2 linked regions of the Notamacropus eugenii genome follow. The protein of the gene in region 2 purifies or fractionates together with the protein of the main gene of each other region. This does not show direct contact. Links are inferred from orthologs where the notes say so. Each region holds a gene or a part of one and is shown on either strand. Other genes may lie near its edges. The genes, in order: MAPK8 and DUSP4.

The links.
Region 1: the proteins of DUSP4 (region 2) and MAPK8 purify together in Homo sapiens (affinity purification with western blotting; 3 studies listed by BioGRID and IntAct, with this or other methods). This does not show direct contact. The link is inferred for Notamacropus eugenii from reciprocal best matches to the Homo sapiens genes DUSP4 and MAPK8.

The regions. Positions count from the first base shown.
Region 1 is NC_092872.1:219,737,701-219,748,187, forward strand, and holds the start of MAPK8 (mitogen-activated protein kinase 8), read right to left. Parts: upstream 4,024-10,487; 5' UTR 3,889-4,023; intron 1-3,888. UniProt on the Homo sapiens protein: Serine/threonine-protein kinase involved in various processes such as cell proliferation, differentiation, migration, transformation and programmed cell death.
Region 2 is NC_092878.1:167,816,358-167,826,661, reverse strand, and holds the start of DUSP4 (dual specificity protein phosphatase 4), read right to left. Parts: upstream 4,296-10,304; 5' UTR 4,239-4,295; coding exon 3,794-4,238; intron 1-3,793. UniProt on the Homo sapiens protein: Regulates mitogenic signal transduction by dephosphorylating both Thr and Tyr residues on MAP kinases ERK1 and ERK2.

The sequences.
Region 1 (10,487 bases), on a different chromosome or scaffold from region 2:
TTCACCATGTCTTTTCCTAGAACATCATCCTCCCAACCGGCTCTTCTCTTTTCTCTCTTTGCTCCTGGTGGTCTCATCAGCTCCCATGGGCTCAATTATCAGCTCCATCCAGAAGACTCCCAAATAGGTACCCTCCCTGCCACATATACATATGTGTAGGTGTGTCTACCTGAGTCTTCTGGATATGTGTTTGTGTATATGTATATGTGTGTCATGTACAGACAGACATACACATTCCCAGTTTTTCTGAATTCAGTCCCACATTACTAACTGCTTAATGGGTAGTTCCGCATATCCATCCTCTTACTAACTTCCAAATTTCTGTTAAGGGTTGCACAATCCTTCTAGTCACCCAGGTTCCCAAATTCAGTCATCCTCCATTCTTGTTTTTCCCTCACCCCCAATCAGCTGACAAGCCTCACTGATTCTACCTCCACAGTGCCCCTCATATCATCTTCTCTCCACTCACACAGCCACTACCTTAGTCCAGGTCCTCATCACCTTTTGCCCTGGACTACTGTAATAGCCTAGTAGTCTCCCCAAATCTAGTCTCTCCAATCCACAAGCTTCCATACAGTTGCCAAACTGATATTCCTAAGGCACACATCTATGTCACTCTCCTGCTCAGTAAGCTCCAACAGCTTCCTCTTGCTTCTAGGATATAATACCAGTTCTTTCATTTGGCTTTCAAAGCCCTTCACAACCAGTCTCCAGTGTACTTACTCAGTCCTACTAAACACGACTCTCCTCCACACTTGCTGTTTCTCACACCCAATATGCCACCTAACATCTCTGTGCCTTGCACAGGCTGATCAATCACTCTTGTCTAGAATGAGCTCCCTCTTCTTCTCTAGCTCAGAGAAATGCTACCTGCCTTGGAAAGTCAGCTCAAGTGGAATACTCTGAACAGGGAGCTCTCCTAATCCTGTCCTTTGTTAATGCCCTCACTCAAGAAATTACTTTCTGTTTTGTATTCCATCTTTTAGTTCAGCCTGTTTCCCCTAATAGAATATAAATTCCTTGAGAGAAGGAATTTTTCTATTTTTGTCTTCGTATCCACAGGGCTCGGCACATAGGGGATACTTAATAACTGCTACACCTTGCTTTTGGAGCTCTGAACTGACTCAAACATGCTATAAAATGATTTTGGAATTATGTAAGAAAAGCCACCAAGCTGTTCATGACCTCTGATCAGGAAGTTGTAATCAGGCAGAGAGTCCAAAGAGGTCAATGACAGAAAGAAAGGCCTTCTATGTAACAAGTCATAGCAGCACTCCCACTGTGGCAGTAAAGAACTGGCTGGCTTAAAAAAAAAAAAAGTAGATGCCCATCAAAGGGGTAAATATATACTGTAATCTATTAATGAAATATTATACAGTAAGAAGCACTAATATGGAGAATTCAGAGAAATATACAAAGATTTCTATGACGTGATACAGGTGTGGGAAAAACAGGACCAGATGAACAATTTCACAACAATAATGTCAAGGTAAAAAAAACATTAAAAGGAAGCTGAACTCAATGGGTATAATGAAAAATCTTGGTTCTGAGAAGAGAATAAAATAGTTTTCTTCTCAGAAGGAAAGTGGATTGCAGAACACTGAACCGTGGGTATCAAATTTTGTGTACACAGGTTTTATCCATCACTTTGGTTTATTTTTCTTTGTTACAAGAGAGGGCTTAAGGAGGAGGAAGAAAGGGGATATAAAATGAGAAATGACTGTGATGCAGAGATAAAAATATAAAATTTCATTACCTGCAATTTAAGGAGCACATGCTTCCTTTAATTTTTTTTTTATAACAAAGCAAATTGAAAATATGTTAGTGCCATAAATACTTCTGGCTTAATAATTAGAACTTGTACCTTTCATAATACAAACATTCAGACAACTATTTACTGTATCCGAACATTCTTGATTTTAGTATTATGAGGTTCCTTTTAAGAAGGTCAATTTACTGAAGCAATAACACTTCAACAAAGTTGTTCAAGATCCCCCTACTCTGGTGATAGGTAGTACATATGAAAGTATGGCCACTTAGTCACAACTGTATGTGGCTTACCAAAATGCACGGACAAAATGTTGTGCAAAATTTTTCAAAAACTGCAATTTCAGTTCACATTTAATCCTTCAGTTTCTAATATATTGGAACATTTAATCCTCCAACTTAAAAAAAATAGTAAAAGCACCTTGCATGGAATCATAGAATATTAATGACAAAAGGAGTCAGGGAAACAGTCCCTTCATTTCACAAATGAGGATCTTAAACACTAGGTTATCTTATAGCTTTATTTAAGGATAAATCAGGGCTATGACTGTAGACAAGGCAACATTCACATACCACACTGAACTACTTCATTTTACCTTCTACTCCTAGCTCTGACATAGTGTGGGATGACTGCCAAGAAGCCACATTAACAAAAAAAAAGTAGCATGAGCTCGGAATTAAATAAGTTAATTAATTGCACTTAGTGGGAAGGTTTTTTTGATTGTTTTATTTTTACCTTAGCTATTGTGGCATAGCTGACAGGCTGACCTTGGAATCATCAAGACACAGGTTCAAGTCCCTCCTCTGACAGATACTGCCCTTGTAATCCCAGGCAAGTCACAACCTCTCAGCACCTAGGCATCTGAGATGGTCAACTGCAGAAGAGGTACCAACCTACAATTATCAGAAGGAATTTCCTTACCTGAGAGTTCCCTATGGGAATACAATCAATAGTCCAGTTCCTATCCCTAATTTAAGCAAATTGCACTTATTGGGCACAGTTTAATAGGATGGTGATGAATGTTATTGAATTCACAGAATATATACGAGGGAAGACAAGAAAAGAAAAAACAAAGACCATATGCTTTTACTAATTTACCCAAACTCCAAATAACACAGCTGCAGTCCAAAGTGTGACTCGGACAGTCAAGTCAGTCAAGACACAATCATTAAACGCGTATTACGTGCCAGGGACTATAAGCATAAGCGTTTAGAGATATACAGAAAAGATCAGTTCCTTACTTAAGATTTTAAAAATCTCATAAGAACACCACAAGCTAAAACAGTCCATTTGCCATTCACCGGCCGAGGACTCATCGCCGGTACCAATAATTTTTTTTTTTTTTTGCATTGATGTATCTGCATATAACTGATGCATCTGTGCTTTACATTACTGGCATAAACAAGGCTCCACAGAACACAAAAAGCAAACAAAAACACACACACACTCAAAAACCCAGGATGCCCTAGAGCGTCAACTCAGCCACTACACATGGTCCAGGATGGGAATGATAAGACCATTTTCTTTTTACATACCCAGGATCTACGAGGTACTCGCTGCACGCTTCCAGTCCCCGTCCCGGCCTTCAAGGACTACAGATCTCCCCCCTCCCCCAAAGTCTTTGAGAACTTCTCCCCCATCCCTGGCCATTTAAAAAATACAATATGCAAGTGGGGAAAATACGCTAAGCACAGACCACCCTTTCGGGGCCGCCGCCGCGGGAGGAGGGAGGTGGGTACCCATCTAGCTCTCGGGCTCCCGAGGTCCCGGGGCTGGAGGCGGTGGGGGGGCGGGGAGGAAAACGGTGGGGCAGCAGCGCGTCATCGCCCCCGGCCCCGTCCCCTCCCCCTCTGGGTCCTCCTCCCCGCCCCCTCCCCCTCCTGGCCCCCTTCACCCCGCTATTGTTCTCCGGATCCCCCGGCATCCTCTCCCCGGTCCCCAGGCGGGCCCCCTCCCCCCTCGCGGGGACGCGCGCCCCTCCCCCTCGCCGCCCCCTCCTCCTCCTTCCCCTCCCCCTCCGGAGGGGGTCACCGCGGCGGCGGCGGCGGCACAATAACATAAACACAGCCGTTACGACCGGAGGAGCCGCCCCCGGGCTCTGGGCCCGGCTCTGCACTCACCCAGGCAAGCGAAGCGCGCGCCGAAGGGAGGAAGGCCCCCGGGGTCGCCGCGGGGGCGGCCGAGGGGCAGGGGAGGACGGGACAGGCGTCCGAGCCCGAGCTCGAGCGGCTGGCTGGCCGGTCCACCGAGCTCGTCCGGGCTCGTCCGGGCTCCGGGCCGCGTCCTCCTGCCTCCACCGCTCGGCTAAGGAACAAGAGCGCCGGCCGTCACCGCGCACGCTTCCACGTCATCCCGCAGGGCCCCGCCCCCTGACCGCTCCCCCGCCCACGAAGGGGCGGGGCGATTCGGATCCCGGGGGGCGGGGCCAGCCGTAGCAAGAGCGAAGTGCGGGGAGGGCTGACCCAGGTGGCCGGAGAGGAGAGGCCGGGGAGAAGCAAAGGCGGATCTGAATAGGGGGAGGGGCAAAAAAGAAAGTATGAATGAGGGGCGTGGCCAGAGCTGGGCCCGATGGGGGCGGGGACTACGTTTTTGTAAATTTCCCGGCTGAGTGGCTGATACTGACAATTCACATTTAGATAGCATTTAATTAAGAAAGAATAAAGAGGAAAGGTAACGAATAATGTGCTGTCAGAAAGACTCGGTTCAAATTCCTCTTCTGACCTTGGTCTCGTCACTCAGCCTCCAGGTGCCTCGGGCAAATTCCTAGAATTTCTCTCCTAACTCACTACCAGAGGGAATTTGGGGAAAATCACTTGACCTCCCCGGCCTCGGTTTCCTCCTCTGTAACAGGTGGGGAACTGGTCTCTCCGCACTCCGGGGTCTCTGCCAAGAGTTTATCTTTAGTGCTAGCACGTCCAGGTGGAGATCTGAGGGAGTTCTTCCATGATGACAAAGCTGTAGATCCTTCTAGCATCCAAGTTTATTTTGTTTTTAAGGCAAAAACCAAAATATGCCTTTTCTTCTTGACCTCCAGGTCAGCTAGGTGGTAGGAGAGGAAACTGGTAAGTGGAAGGACTAAAACCCTGCTTTCCACTCAAAATACCATGCTGCTTCTCAGTGCCAAAGAAGCCAGCCTGAGGTAGAACTATAAAGCTGAAAAAGAACCTGTGTACCTACTGTGTGCCCACTTGTAAACCTTCGATTGGAGACTTCTTGCTGACCAGGCCCACCTCGCAGTCACCTCCCTCCCCCAATATTCATGTTTGTCTTAGTCGTTGTTGTGTGGAGTGTAGTGGAAAGAACACTAGCCGTTGAATTCAGGACACTTGGGTTTTATTCCTGCCTCTTCCATTTACTAGTTGGGTGACCTGGGGCAAGTCACTGAAGCTCCAGTACCTCACCTGTAAAATGAGAGTAAGAATATTTGCATTGCCTAACCCAATCACAAATGAAATGATATATAAAGGTATTTTGTAAAGCATAATCTATATGTCAGTAATCCATTCACTGTGGCAGCTAGGTGGTAAAGTGGATAGATCCCTGAACCTGAAGTCAGGAAGACCAGAGTTCAAATTTGACCTCAGATCCCTATTAGCTATGTGACTGAACAAATCCCTTAGCGCTGTTTGTTTCAGTTTCCTCATCTGTAAAATGAACTGGAGAAGGAAATGGCAAACCACTTCAGCATCTTTGCCAAAAAAACCCCAAAGAGTTGAAGATGACAACAAAAACAGCAAATATACTCATATGTCTATAAAACACCCCTTAGTGCTTTGTTAAGTGGTATATAAATGTCTGTTCATTTTAACAGCCTGGTACAGAGGAATGGCTATGTGGCCCTGGACAAGTCACTTAATCTCTGTTTCCTCTTTTATAAAAGAAAGGATGGGCTAGATAAAGGTCCTTTCTAGCTATAAATCTATGCTCCCATGACTTTCTATTAGCAAGGTGCTGGGAATACAAGAACAAAAGCCAAACAGGCCCTGCCATGAAGGAACTTCCATTCTACTGGGAAGAATTAACATATATACAGAAAGATTTGTACTAAGCAACACATCTTAGCTAGTATAATTTAGTAGATAAATCCTAGAACATTACTTGAGGCTCAGACAGATTAAATGAATTGTCCATCATTCACACTGCTAGTATATGTCAGAAGTGGAATTTGAATACAACTCTTCCTGACTCCAAGTCTAGTACTCTATAAGGTATGCAACAATTCAAGTCACTATCTAAATATGGATGTTAGAGTTGGAAAGGATAGAGAAGGCCAAATTTCTCGTTAAAACAATAACTGATATTTGGAGAATACTCAAAATGTGTGAAGTGCTTTAAACACTATCTCACTCAAGACTCATAGTACTGTGAAGCAGATAATATAGCTATCACTATCCCTACTTTATAGATAAGAATACTGAGGCAAAGAAAATTTGTGTGTCTTACCAAGAGTCACACAACTTATTTCTTGCTTATTAGTAAGAGTTGAACACACTCTTCCCAATGCCAAATGCAGCACTGTATATACATTCAACCACTCTGTCTTCTCAAAGTAACTAAATAATCTGTCTAAAGGCACCCAGCTCATTTTAGCTTGCTCTGGAATCCACTGGATTTTCTGATTCTTTTCTCACTGTTTGTCCCATTGTTATTACTTTCTTTTAAAAACAGAAATTCTCCCTTTCCTTTGAAGAAAAATAAAGATGACTTGAATATAGGAATATTTTTATTCTCTACCTTATTGTGATTCTCTTTTCTGGAGAGTTTACAAGTCATTGGTGTCTTGACTACACTTCAAGATAAACTTGCTGATTTATACAGAGCTGTCTATCTCCCGGTTTCTGAGGAAATGAACAGCTCTGCCTTATCAAACATGTATAGCTACCAAGTTATACACAACTATACACATGTACACATAGGCTTCTCCTTACACCTATGCCCAGACCATTGTTGGGGTCACCATTTGTCAAAATCAGTTCTTTCTTAAAGTACACATCACTACTTATATCACCCTGCATTCACACGCATTGCTACCAACAAGTGAGTCTTTTATTTTAACTTTTTTTTTTTAAAGCACAAAAACTACAAAGTCTTTTGATTGTGAATGTACATTTTAGGGGGACAGGTTGTGTGTAGTTTTCACTTTTATAGAAACAAAAGAATTATGAAAAAGGAAGGCTAATTTCAAGGAGGATAAAGCTGAGAAAGCACAGAGGAATGCTTTGTAAAGATGGTAGATAAAAGGTAGATTGTTTTGGTACTTGTGGTCCTGGTGTACAACTCTTAACCATTCACACCCTGCTTCCCAAGTGATCCAGGTAGACTGAAGAGTGCCGAAGAAAGGGGAGAGAAGGAGTGAGAGTGAGGAGAGAGAGAGAGAGAGAGAGAGAGAGAGAGAGAGAGAGACAGAGAGACAGAGAGAGACAGAGAGAGACAGAGAGAGAGAGAGAGAGAGAGAGAGAGAGAGAGAGAGAGAGAGATGGTTTTTGCTTTCTGTGACTACATATACCCAGCTACTCAAACCTCTTTCAAGAGATATGATATGAGCCAGACTCCATGCTAAGTACAAGGAATGCAAATATAAAGGTACAACAACCCCTACCCTCAAGGAGTTTAAATTGTAATGGAAGAAAACACATATAGAGTAGTGGTGAAGAGGGAAGGGAGTTCTGATATAAGGAATCATGGGAATGGATTGATACATACGGCAGCTCCCTTTTTAGAAGTAAGAGCAATTAATAGATTTAGGGTCAGAGAACCTGAGTTCAGATTTTGACTAACTTTTTACTTGTATAATGTTGGGTAAATTACTTCCTTTCTCTGGGATTCCATTTCCTCACCTGTAAAATGAGGTAAATAGTCTTTATTCTTGAAAGCCTCTTGTAGTTCTAGATTCTATGATGCTATGACTCGGCCAGCTTCCTCAATATATCCCATACTTGGTTACACAGTTTTCCTCTACTCCATCACCTCTTATTATCCTTAAGATTTCAACATCTATACTGATGATCCTCCCATCTATTTAACTTTACAACTCTTCCACTGCCTGCATTCCAATGACTTAATTCTCAAATTCACTTTAGCTATCATATGCTTGATCAAATCCTGGACCTTGCCATCAGTTTGAATTGCCTGTGCCTCCAAGGTTTTGAATTCTGAAATTATTCTCTTTGACCAAACCCGTCTATCCTTCTACTCCTCCCATTCTCTTACTTCTCCTGAATCTACCCTTTACCACTTATGGTGACCTCCAATTCCCCAAGACCTCCCTATTCTTACCCCTCATCAAAATCAGTTTCTGGTCTCACTTATGAAACTAAGCTGATGCTTTAGCCCCATCTCAACCCATCCTCCATGAAATGCATGCCAGTGATACTATAATTATTTTGGTATGTACAGAAACAATGCAGAGTGGTTGACTGTCACCAGTAACAGTGAACTTATGACCTGGGTTTTTAAATATGCCATGCAGCTGCCCCAGGCTGCTGGTTGACACTTCCTAGGGTATTTGTAGCTATTACTAACAAAGGAAGCTTCTGTGTACTAATTGGATTGTTCAGTGTTCAGGCTCCTTGTGATACTGTTTAATTTGTTCCCTACTAACAGTGATCTAGGGCAAGTGCCTAGCCTTATCTCCTCAGCTATTTATTAGTTGTTACTGACATAAGTCTAATTATTTGGTTCTATTTTGCTTTATAGTTATTCGTGTACATGTTGGGACCAATTACAAAACTATAAACCCCTTATGGATAGGAGCCGTGCCTTAATGTTTTCTCTCCCTCCATGCCTAACATGGTGGTCTGTACATCATAGACCTCCCCACTCAACGCTTATGAAAGTAGAGAGGTAAAGTGATACAGAAAATGCACACTAGTTCTGGAGTTGGAGGTCCCGGGTTCAAATTCTGCCTGTGATATTCACTATCTCTTTGACATTGGAAACTTAGCATTTCTGAATCTCAGGTTCTTCATCTTTGTCTCACTGTTTCTGTGTGTGTGTGTGTGTGCGTGTGTGTGTGTGTGTGTGTGTGTGTGTGTGAGAGAGAGAGAGAGAGAGAGAGAGAATAGTAGGGTAGTAGCTGTAATACCAATTTGACTGGATTATGGAAAGTATTAACTGAATTAACATATACAAACTTCAAAATAGACTTCATCTATTATTTTTATTGATGGAGGAGAGAGAGGTCAATGGAAATGGGCTCTGGACCTCAAATATCCGCTTGTCTCCTGGCAAGAGAAAATGGGTGGTAGGAAGAAGAGGCAGGAAGGATGGACAGGAGTATGGAAGAAAATCTAGAAAACAGAAACAGCAGGATTTGCTACACTCTGCTTGAGCTAGATAGGCTCATGATCCCAGTGGATGCATCTGGTAGGAGCTAATGATGCTCAAATCATAGGGTCCTCAAATATCAACAGTTCTAAAAACAGTCTTTTCCTAGTTGCAGCCAGACCAGCCCCAACTCAACCTCTACCAGAGAGTGGGAGGTGGGAAAGATGACTTCTGAAGGAGAAAAAATATAGACAGTTTAGTCCCTATTGATCTCTTTCCCTCTCTTTTCTCCACCTCTCATCCCATCTAGATATGCTGAAATAACTAAAAGCAGGTTAAGTTTACCTTCAGGGCTATCCTTCCAAGTAAGCACAATGCCATGTTGGGGCAATGGTAAATTCCCAGATTCTTCCATCTGTTCCCTGATGTCACAAATTCCTTTAATAAGAGACAAATCCCTTTATTCCACATAGAGAGACCCAAGGTTTAAAATACAAATAAGTGAGATTCATATAGGGCTGTAAAGTTGGCAAAATGCTTTTCATTCATTATCTGATTTAAGCTTCACAACAATCCCACAAGTATTACTGCTAACTATTAAGCTTACTTTATAAATTAGGTAATAGGCTCAAGGCTGTCAAGTATTTCCATGGTCATATAGCTAGGAGAAATTGGAGGTAGGATTCCAACCCAGGTCTTCCAAACATTAAGTCTAAAACCTGATCTGCTATACTATGTTCCTTCTAAATATGCCTAGAAAAGGGAATCATGTAGAATAAGTAGTATTAGAACCTTTTTTGATTGGGTGGGAGAGAAAGTTAGAGAGTAGACCAGGAGGGAGTCACAGATAAAGGAAAGAGGGCACCCAAGACAAACTTTATATGCTTTATAATTATGCCTAGAGTCAGGTCAACTACCCTCAGCTATGTGCAGATTAACAGAACTGTGCCAGGGGCATTCATTCAGGTTAATTTGGTCTGCAATTACCTAAACAGAAGAAGAAGGTGGAGGTAACCAATGCCCTCACCACTGCAATTGAACGTATGGCTCAGATTATTTTCCAGAGAAAGAAAAGATAATAGCCTTCAAATGAAAAAGAGAGAATTTATCTGGAAACCTAGAATTGATTGAAAGTGTATTTGGTCCCATAGAACTAGAGCTTAAAGAGACTTTAGAAACCCTCTAGTTAAAACCCCTTATTTGACAAAGGACGAAATCGAGGTACAGGGAGGTCAAATGATATGCCCAAGTTCACATAGGTAATAAGCATCTGAAACAAAATTTGAATCCAAGTCCTCTGACCCCAGAATGAGTGGCCTTCCCTTGCACTAATCTGATCTCTTTGTTGATGGTGCGGTACCCTTCTCTGTGCACAGGGAGAAGTGACTTCCCGTTCTATCACCTGCAAAGCAGCGCAGCTCACCTGTTCTATGCCTTTCATCAGAGAAACCCC
Region 2 (10,304 bases):
GTTCAATAAGGAGTATCTGAGTCTGGTTCTGCTATCCCAGATCTCGCACTTGTCTACAGTTCTTGCTTGTCTTCCAAGATGCCTCTTCCAGAAGCTGTGGCCATTTTGTGGTGGTGAGCCAGTGAATGCCACTCCATCCCACTACCACTAAAGGCAACTGTTGATCACAAGCAGCATAAGGTCAAGAAGCTGAAGAGAGTGAGTAAGTGTGGCTCCATCACTATCCCTTCTGACCACAAAGCAGGAGGACTTGCTTGGGATAAGGGAGCTGCCTATGTCATCCCTGTGAGCTGAGGGTATCTGACTGCTCCTTCTACCTAATTCTTAAGAAGGTGATACCCCTCTGGAAGCTTCCCAGGCATATTCTGTTCTGCCAAGCTTTGTCCAAATTGGGGTCCCCAGCACACCAGAGGTCTTAGAAAGAGATTTTGAGAAGTCAGTTTTAGCTTTAAAAATTTACTGCTCAGTTGGACTGCATTGTTCTAGATAAACCCTGTAACTGTATGATCCAGTCCAGCAATTCTTAAGCTAAGGACTCTGGGGATTCTTTGATAAATTTCAGGAAGTTCATGAACTTAAATGGGGCAAAAGGAGGGAACTACATCTTAATTTCAATATAATCGTTTCATTTGTGATGCTGTGTATTCTATTTTAGGCATTTAAAAATCTGTATCTGAGAAGGGATCCAGAGGCTTCACCTTGACTCCCAAAGGAGTCCGGGACATAAGAAGGGCTAACTCTGATCCGGTCCATGCTCCCCAACAGCAGCTGCCTCCTACCCACATCAGCTAGGATGATGCCTAGTCTTCCTATCCCAGACAGCAGGACAGTGACACCAAATGCCAATCAAGTTTTAGCAGACCGAAATTATATTATAGAAAGAGGGCACCCTGCCAAGTTTACATAAAGCCAGCATTCAGCACATGCTTAGCAAATGGGCAGCATATTCTTTGTGCCCGTTCCTTAAGAGAAATGTTTACACGTTTGCTTTCATTCTGATTGTATCTGAGCATAATCGTCCCATTTTTATAAGAGTCAACTCTGTCATGTTGGTTGATGGGCAAACAGGTGGTGCATGTCCAAAAAATATATGCTCATCAGAAGTACTTATGTCAGAAAGAAGTAGGCAGATTTCATAGCAAGAGGAAGAAATAGCAAAGGGTACCCCAACCTTAAGAACAGAAGCACAGCCAGGTGATCAGCACCTTGGGCAGCTCCTCCTGGAGGATGTTCAGGAAGGTAGCACAAAGCTTCCACATCCAAACCAAGATCTTGGCTCTGGTGAAATGCAGGCTCAAAGTCAATCATGCTGGTGGTGGTGGACTTGAGTGAGGGGAAGGAGAGGAGTAGGGAAGGTTATGTCCAAGACTCCATCCTGGGCTTCTGAATTTCTACTCTAGCCGATGAAAGAGGCAATTTCTGGGTAATACGGTAACCCATGTCTATATCATTCCTCAGTTCTTTCACTCTTGCAAACTAGAATAGTTTCAAAAGGTAACAGTTAAACGTTACTGAGACTTGTACTAGGGGAAAGTCCTAAATGGACGATTAAAGAGACGGTTGGTGATTTCTAAAAGGGAAGCAGTAATTACAAAGAGATCGTCCAGCTTTCTCAAGCCCAGTCAGGGCAGACCAACCTTATTCCCTTTTTTAGTGGGACTATTTCACTTGTTGATAAGGGACTTTCTATAGTCATAGTATACCTCCATTTTAGCCTAATGCTTGATAAAGATTTCATTTGTTGTGGAAAAGGAGAGAGATGGTTCAGAATCTTGCACAGAGCACTGGAGTCAGGAAGTCTCCTCTTCCTGAGTTCAAATCTGGCCTCAGACACTTACTAACTGTGTGACCCTGGGCAAGTCACTTAACACTGCCTTAGTTCCTCAACTGTAAAATGAACTGGAGAGGGAAATGGCAAACCACTCTAGGTGTCTTTGCCAAGAAAGCCCAAACAAGGTCACAGAGGCAGACATGACTGAACAACAACAAACCCACCCTGGAACCTCTCTGGGCCTGTTTTTCCTCACCGATAAAAAGTGGAGGTCAGACCAGATGGCCCCTGAAGCCCCTTCCAGCTAAGTATAGATCCAGGATCCTATAAATATTCACGTTCCCATCAATAGCTCCGGGAGGAAGAGCATCACCAGTGGAGGCTCTACCCACCCTATGAAATTGCTGGCGCCAAACTCAAAATAGAAAGAGGGGTCATTAAGCCACACACAATGTACTTTTTTTTTTATTTTGTTCAATATTTCACAATTCCATTTTAATTTGGTCTTCACCAACCTTGGGCCAAGGGGTTACTGGTGAGATTGACAACTCTGCTCTAAAACAATCCAAGGAACCACACAGAACTTTGAACAGCTGTCTCCAGACAAATACCCTGATGCCAGCAGCAGACAGTTCGTGTTCTCCTTCCTCTCCCTCTGTCCCTCCCCCTTTGTGCCTCCCTTTCCCTCGCTCCCTTCCTCTCCCCCTCTGTCTCTCTCCTGCAGGAGAGAATGCAGATTGCTGGCAGCTAGTCAATCACAAGAACCCTGAAAAAAGTAATACTCCACCCCAGTCAGCCCCAAACACTCGAAAAGCAAAAACTCAGAGAATGGCACTGTCTTCTCCAACCCATGCTAGACAACCTGGGGGGAAGGGGATGCAGGGGGCAGCCCTTTCTCATATGACTGAAAAAGGCAACAGTTCTCCCTGGTTTTTGGTAGCCAGCAGGCAGCCACCATGGTGTATGTAGCAGGAGGAAGCCAGAAGCGAGCAGTCAAGAGAGTCCCCTGGTTCAGCCACTGTGTGTGTGTCTGTACAACAAAAGAGTTAAACCTGATGATTTAAAGACCATGGGGTCCCTCCTCACTCTGATGCTCCACCATTTTTGATCCTCTGTCATGGTCACATCCTATGCACAAGGCATTCAAAGGCTCCTTCCAGCCCTCACCTTCTGTGTTAGGGTCCCTTCACCTCTGATATTGTTCTAAGACATTTCCTGTTCCCTGGTCCCTCTCCCCTCTGACATTTCCTGCTCTAGGCCCCCTCACAGCTCCTATAAGCTCTGTTCCAAGCTTCTTTCCCCCTTCCACATTCCCAGTTCCAAGCTAACACCCTGCCCTCTCCCCCTCACAGTCTGGGATACGCTCAAGGCTTGTTTCCTTTGCTCTGGGTGGCAAATAGGGGAATCTAAGGGCGAGTCAGGGCTATGGCAGGGGATGCTAGCGGTTCAACCACAGGTCACTGGCCTTTCCCAACAGCTGATGAGGCAAATGGCCCGGGTGCATGTGTGGTAACAAGAGCCCCTGTGGCTCAAGGGCCTCTTGGCTGGGCTGGGAAACTAGGGACGTCTCCACGAGGCCAGGTGGGCTTTGGTCTGCCAGGGGGGACCCTGGGAGGTGCCAGCCTTCTGAGTTCTGGGATGTAAGGAAGCGGGTGGTTTTCAGGAGGGGGTCATGGCCTGGGTTAAGGGGGCGGGAGCGGTCAGGAAGACACCACCTCCCCAGGCACTCAGATACGGCTCCGTGGCCCAGAGTTTCCTGGACGGGGGGAGAGGTGCACAGGATCCCTGAGTCCTCTTTTCCCCGTCCCTCCCGTGAAGGGACTGGCCCTGAGTGTCAGAGGCAGGACGCGAACGAGCTCTGCCTCCAGACCCGACGAGCTTTTCCACCACCAACCCCAGCCACGCGTGGAGGAGCTGGCCTTGAACCCAGGTGCTGAAAGGGAGCCCGGGGATCCAGCCCGCCCCTGACCAGGGTCCGAGCCCCCGAGCGCACTCCCCCGCCCCCGCCCGCCCCGTGCTCACCTCGCAGCAGGTAGAGGGGTGCGGGCGCGCGTGGCACGGCCCCCCGCAGGGCGCGCACCACCCAGGCCAGGGCGCCGTCGGGGGCGCGCAGGGCCTCGGCCGCGCGCTGGCTGCGCTGGTCGTACAGCACCACGGTCCCGCAGAGGCCGGCACGTAGGCGGCGGCCCCGGGCCTCGGCGTCCGGCCCGTCGGCGGCGGGCAGCAGCTGCTCCAGCCGGCCCGGCCCGTCGGGGGCGCGCCTGCGCGCGATAGTGTGGCAGCGCACGGGGAGCGCGCCGCGGATGCAGCCCGCGCCGTGGGCCAGGAAGGGCCGGCAGTCCAGCAGCAGGCACATGCCCCCGCCGGGCCCGACGCCCGACCCGCCGGCACGCTCGCGCTCGTCGCGGCTCAGGAGCCTCCGCAGCGCGCTGCTCTCCAGCTCCCGGAGCTCTCCGGCCGCCACCATGACCCCCGCAGGCCGGCCACCCTCCCCGGAGCCTGTGGCCGCCGCGCCGCGTCCTCGCCCCGCGCCCGCCGCCCCCGCGCCTCGCGGATTTATCCTCCGGCAGGCTCGGGGCCCCGCCCCTCCCCCTGGTGAATGGAGCGGCGCGGGGCGGGGGCGGGGGGCGGGGGCTGACGTCACAATGGGCCGGAGGAACCCCGGCTCCGGGCCATTCACAAATCCGGACCGGCCAGAGGCCCGCGAGCGCAGGGCTGCGGGGCTGGGGCTGCCGCGGCCGGGCCTCAGTTTCCTTCTCTGTACAACGCGGGGCGATCTCCGAGGGCCCGCCGGCGCTGGACTCCAGGGTCCGTGCCCAGCACTCAGCCGGCACTAGGGAAGGGCGCTCCGGGCACGGGGCCAGTCCTCGGGCCGGGCACACTCAGAGATCCCGGCCGCAGCCCGGCTCCGCGGGGAGGGAGACAGACGTCCCCAGGGCTGGGGGCCTCCGCCCCTCCTGGCACCGGCCTGGCGACTGGCTGCGCCGAGCGGGTGCCAGGAGCCGTCCCAAAGCCGGGGCTGAGAGGTCGGGGGCAAAGCCTCGTTTCCTCTCTCGGGATCTGTCGGGTCCCGTGGGGTGGGAGAGTCGGTGTGCCAGGCCAGCGCCCGGTGCCCGTCCCAGTCGGGTCTGCCCCCTCCTCCTACTCTGCCCAGAGGCTTTCTCTCTCTGGCCCGCCCCTAACTCTGCCAGCGCCTTCCTCCCCCCCATTCTCTCCTTGAGCCTCTTCTCCCCCTTTTTCTTTTCCTTTCCCCCTCCCCAGCGCCTCCCATAACCTCCTGGCCCTGACAGAGATAGAATGGGGGTCGGTGTAGCTGAGGCCAAGGGACCTAGAAAGTCTGAGCTGAAAGAAACCTGGGCCTTCCAGCCATTTCCCCACTCTCTTAGTGGACACGGGGTAGAGGGAGAGGCAGGACTGTCCCTTACTACTTTAAGACCAGAATTTGCCTTGGAAGGAACCTCCACGACCATTCAGTCCAAGACCTAGAACCCCTAAGGTCTCTTATAAAGGGTCAGTCAGTTGCAGCTGGCAGATGTGCTTGGTGGGTGGATGGCTCAGCTCCCACTCCTTCCCGTACCCCAGACCCTGCCACACTTAGACAGCCCTGGCTGTTAGGAAGAGAGTCAATCAATCTATGATCAATCAATCAACATTTCTGAAGTGCCAATACGTGACTGGGCCTATGTAGGCTGTCTCTCCTCAGCTTCTCCACTTAGCTCCAAGTTCTGCCCTATGGAGCCAAGAGCAGAACAAGCCCCAGACAGAGGGGGTGGCCATTCAAACACCATAAAATGGGGCTGGTGTCCCCTCCTCCAGGCCCAACAATCTCAGGTCGTCTGGCCTGTCTTTATGTGCTCATCCATCTCCAATTCAGGGTTTCTTAACCTTTTGGGGGAGTCCTGGACCCCCTGGCAATTGATCTTGTGAAGCCTTGGACCCTTACTCTGAACATGTACAACAGATGTAGGATCCCATTGGCAGCCAAAGGTGAATGTTTCCCCGTCCGCATTCACTGATTCCCTGAAACCTATCCAGGGGCTCTGGGGGTTCAGAACCCATGGTCCAGTATGGCCATCTCATTTTACAGAACCCTATTGGAGAGAGTGTGAAATGAAATCGTTGCTTGTGAAAGGAGCAGGGACCCAAGAGAAAATGATTGTTGGTGACGGAGCGGGTGTCTACAGGCAGGTGACAGCAGTGATGGCCCTCTGGTACGCTACCTTGGGTAGGGTCGGATGCGGACTTCACAATGGCCCAGGATCCCGGGAGCCAGCTCAGCTTCCTGGGAAGGCACTGCTGAGCCCCACAGAGTGGGGCTGCTACCTGATACCCTAGTACCCACTTTCCTTGTGTGTCCCCAATCCTTTCCAGCTCAGCTTCTGATGGGAGAGGAAGGGCATGACCTAGGAAATCAATAGCTGCCTTGAAAGTGGTGACCATGTAGGTAGGAACATTCCTGCTGCTGCCTGCTCTCTGAGCTGGCATTCTTGCTTCTTCATGGGCATAACAAGGATGGTGGTAGTAGATGACCCACCTGGGAGAGAAAGGACTCAAATGTCCTTTGAGTCTCGGAGTGGGCACTGAATCATAGCCTTGAGGGCTGGGAGAAAAGGACTGGCACTAGGTACTTGGCACCAGGCCAGGAGTAGGGAGGGGCACATCTGAGCCTGGTGGCTTTGTTTTTACAGCCAATGTACTAGAATTTTCACACCTAGATAAGCACCCAGGGGTTTCACCAAGTACCCAGAAGGCAGTGAGCACAGTGCCTGGACCAGAGCAGGTGCTTCATGAATGTCTATTGACTGACTGAGGGTCAGGCACTTGTCTGTGGTTACAAGTCTGGGGATGTGAGAGAATTGGAAGTGAAAGCTAGCTCAAAGCAGAATGGGCTAGCCCCAACAGAGCACAGCTGGGACCAGAAGATGACATACCTGAGACGTGGAGAGTGGAACTGACTTACCTCCAGTCACACACACACACACACACACACACACACAGAGAGAGAGAGAGAGAGGCAGGGCCAGGATGGCCCCTAACTCTGGGTTTGGCAGCTTCTTGGAGAGAGAACAGATTCATTGAATTCAGTCTCTCCCAGCCTAGATTCCACGGCCAATCCTCTTTCTCAGGCTGCTATGGTGCCAAGGAAGGGCCTCCCTCAGGCTGGGAAGGCTGCCTTGCCTTGACTCAGAGCATTCTTCGAGCTTTGGGCTGCTTTGGAATGGCCCTGAATCACAGAAGCTAGTCATCCTCAAAAGTCACATCACATCACATCAAGTCAAGGTGCCCCATGTTTGTCTTTAAAGCACAACTTTGGTGTAGGTACCAGACAGAGTAGAGAGTCCTGTATGACTCCAGCTAAGCTTCCTAGGGTGATTCCACCCTGTAACGTCCCCTATGCCTGTTTTACCAGCAGGCTCAGAAAACTGAATCCTGGATTTAAGCCAGAAGACAGGCCCTTGGGTGTATGAGCTCTGTGGCCAATAATAGGACATTTCCTTGGGATTAGACTGGCTGGTCTCCCAATGGCCTTCCAGCCTATCTGCCCACTGCAGCCAGTCACCTGGCCCCCAGACCCACAGGAACTCTGGGGAGAAACCCCATAGAGTCTCCTGGGAAAGTAGAGATGTTCTCAGTCAATGAGGCAGTCTACAAACACTTATGAAGTGCCCCACAGGGCCCAGTGCTATGATAAGTGGGAGAGGCATCCCTGGCTAAGGAAGCGGCAGGTTTTGCTCTGGAAGGTGCCTTTCTCTCTAGGTCTCAGTGTTTTCCTCTTTAGAATGAGTAGATCAGACAGATGGCTGGCCCTGAAGGTTCCTTTAGAGTCCATTCCGTGCCTGGTGTGGGAGCTCCCCTTTGCACAACGACCCAGGTATGGCTTGGAAGGCCCCTCTCACACCTCAGATTTCTGGGGCTCCTGCCTCCCCCCAGGGAGCCTGTCCCTGGAGTAAACTTCAATCAAGGGAGCGGGCTTAGTTACTCAAGGAGAAATAGAACCCATACAGTACCACTAAAAAATCCTCCCTCCACCACGACCCAGACAGCCCCCATGACTCACAGCGCCAGAAAAGAGAGAGATGGGTCCAGATGGTCCCTCTATTCATGTGACTCCCAGCTTCCCTGATTTCTGTAGGGCCAGAAGGAGTGAGGCCACAGGCTTCCTCTTCTCCATCACTGCTCTGGGCCTCAGCCCGGCCCGGACTACACCAGCCTCTCGGCCCAGGTTTCTTGGCATCAGGCTCCTCCTTGACGCTCAACTTCCCTCACGTCTTTCTCTGATTAACTGAACCACACCTACCTTACAGAAGAGGAAACTGAGGCACTCATTGTGCTCTAACCATTATACTAGGCTGTCTGGTAACTCCATAAGAATTAATCAAAGGAATTGGAAGTCTTCAACCTGGAGAGGAGATTTAGTGGAGGTCATGGGAATTACGTTTAAGTGAATGGATTCATAGGAAGGAGATGCTACTCCTGCCTAACCCTGGAGAACAGGTTTTGGCACTTTGGGTGCAAACTGTAGTTAGGCAGAGTGAGACTTGCCAGATTGGCACAGTCGGGAAGTGGGATGGGCATCTTTTGGAAGGAGTGAGGTAGGTCCTGTGGTCTGGGACATCCAGTGGGGATTCTGGTTGAAGGACAGGCCAACCTAGCTGGCCTCTGAGGTCCTATGTCTTGGGGAGATTTTGGATTCCAAAGCAATGTCCCAGTTCCCTCCCCCATTCTCCTCTGCAGAGCACCCACTGGACCTCATGTTCCCCCTAGCATCTTTCCAGCCACCTTCTTTGCGGTCCCTGTTTCTAGCAGCGCTGGCTCTTTTGGGCCACACAGAGACATGTGACCAGAGTCTCTTCTCTTCACTCTCCTTGTCTCCTCTTGACTCACCTGGCACTGAACCCACAGGTTCCTCCCACTCCCCATACTGGTGTGGCCTCTGCCCAGCCGAGAAGCTAGTGACCGCCCCCAGGCCTTGTCAGCTGCTTCCTCAGAACTGGGAGCACAAAGGCCGTCTCATGGAAGTTTGCTTATGCTGGGAGACAGCTGTCCAGAAAATAACCCAAGCTAAAGGGCTATAAGTACTTCCTGCCTCCAGGCAGCACCATCACACTCTCTCCCATTCAAAGGGATTTCTTTCCATTTGTGAGGAAATGTGATCCCCTCCAATCCACATACTAAGCCAGGTAGGGGTGGAGGAGAGGAAACGCTACCTTTCCAGACTGGAGTTTCAGCTAGGTTCAAAGGCTTATACACTGAATGCTAGTCTCTTCTACTTTGAGTCTCAGCTTTCTAATCTGTAGAACGGGGATAACCGATGCTCCCAGACTCTCCTGTAGCTGCTTGAATGAAAAGAGCACACTGAATACGTGCTCAACTGTGGATGCAAATCTAAGCAAACCCCTGTCCTTAAGGAACTGCCATTTTGCTACCAGGAAACACCCCTTATCAAGGGGGACAAAGAGCCAGGATGCTGCAGATTGGAGCCCCAGGGTCGTTGACTGGCCAGTACTCTCTAGTGTTAACAAGGAGGCAGTCAGTCCAGGCGGAACAAGGACCACTGCCAATCAGAAGCTCCTGGTCTCGACACCATTTTCTGCCCTAACCCAGCAGTATGTGTGAAGAGAGACAGATGTCCCTAGTCCTAGGGGCTGGGAGCCTCCATGGCTGGAGCCTTTCTGCCTTAATAGAGGAGTTCATAAGCAATGCTATGTGTCCCTCAGCTGCCAAAGTCCCCACTCATCCCAACTGCTCCTAGGGAGACCCATGAAGTCTGACCCTGAGCTCCTCCCAGGAAGCCTCGAAGCTGAGCAGGACCATCCCAAGTTACTGCTCTAGGGGGCATGGGCTTGGAGAGTCCAGAAGGGGGCATTGGAGGGCATCCTGGAGTCAAGGAAGGCCTCACCTTTACTAGGGAGCTGGGCACAGGTGCTGGGGAGGGAGCCCTCGCTCCAGAGCCCGACAATGTGTTCAAGGGCCAGCTCTTCAACCAGTGATGGTTATTAAGGCAAAAGGGTCCCTTCCCCTCCCCCAGCCCTGAGGTCTCGGTCTCCTTATCTGTAAAATTGCCCTCACAGATCACTTCTGGGTCTTTGTCTATGAGCTGTGACTAGCTTAAAGATATTCAGGTCGAAAGTAGAAAGACCTCGGTTCTTGGTCCATCTCCTCCCTGTTCCTGTAGAGGAAGATCTTCCCCTTGTTCTTGGGGGGGTCCTGGGAGGGGGCAGTGTTTATGGGAACCATGCACAAAGTCTCCCTGGCCTTTTTGGTCCTCACTCTGGGCCCCCATGTAGAGAAAAGGACCCTGACAGCTCCATCTCCCTCAGCCCTGGTGGACATTGTCCAGGGGGTGATCCTAAGGCCAGGCCTGGAGCAGCCAGAGGGTGCAGGTCAGCTGCCCACTGCCAAGGGCTGATAGGCCCCTCCTCCTCCTGTGTGCATGGATTGCTTTCACCTCAATGACTCAGCTTTGGCCTTTAGGGCTTGAGGCCTCAATGGCCATCGATGGCCAGGCCACTATACAAGGGTGTTCACTGGA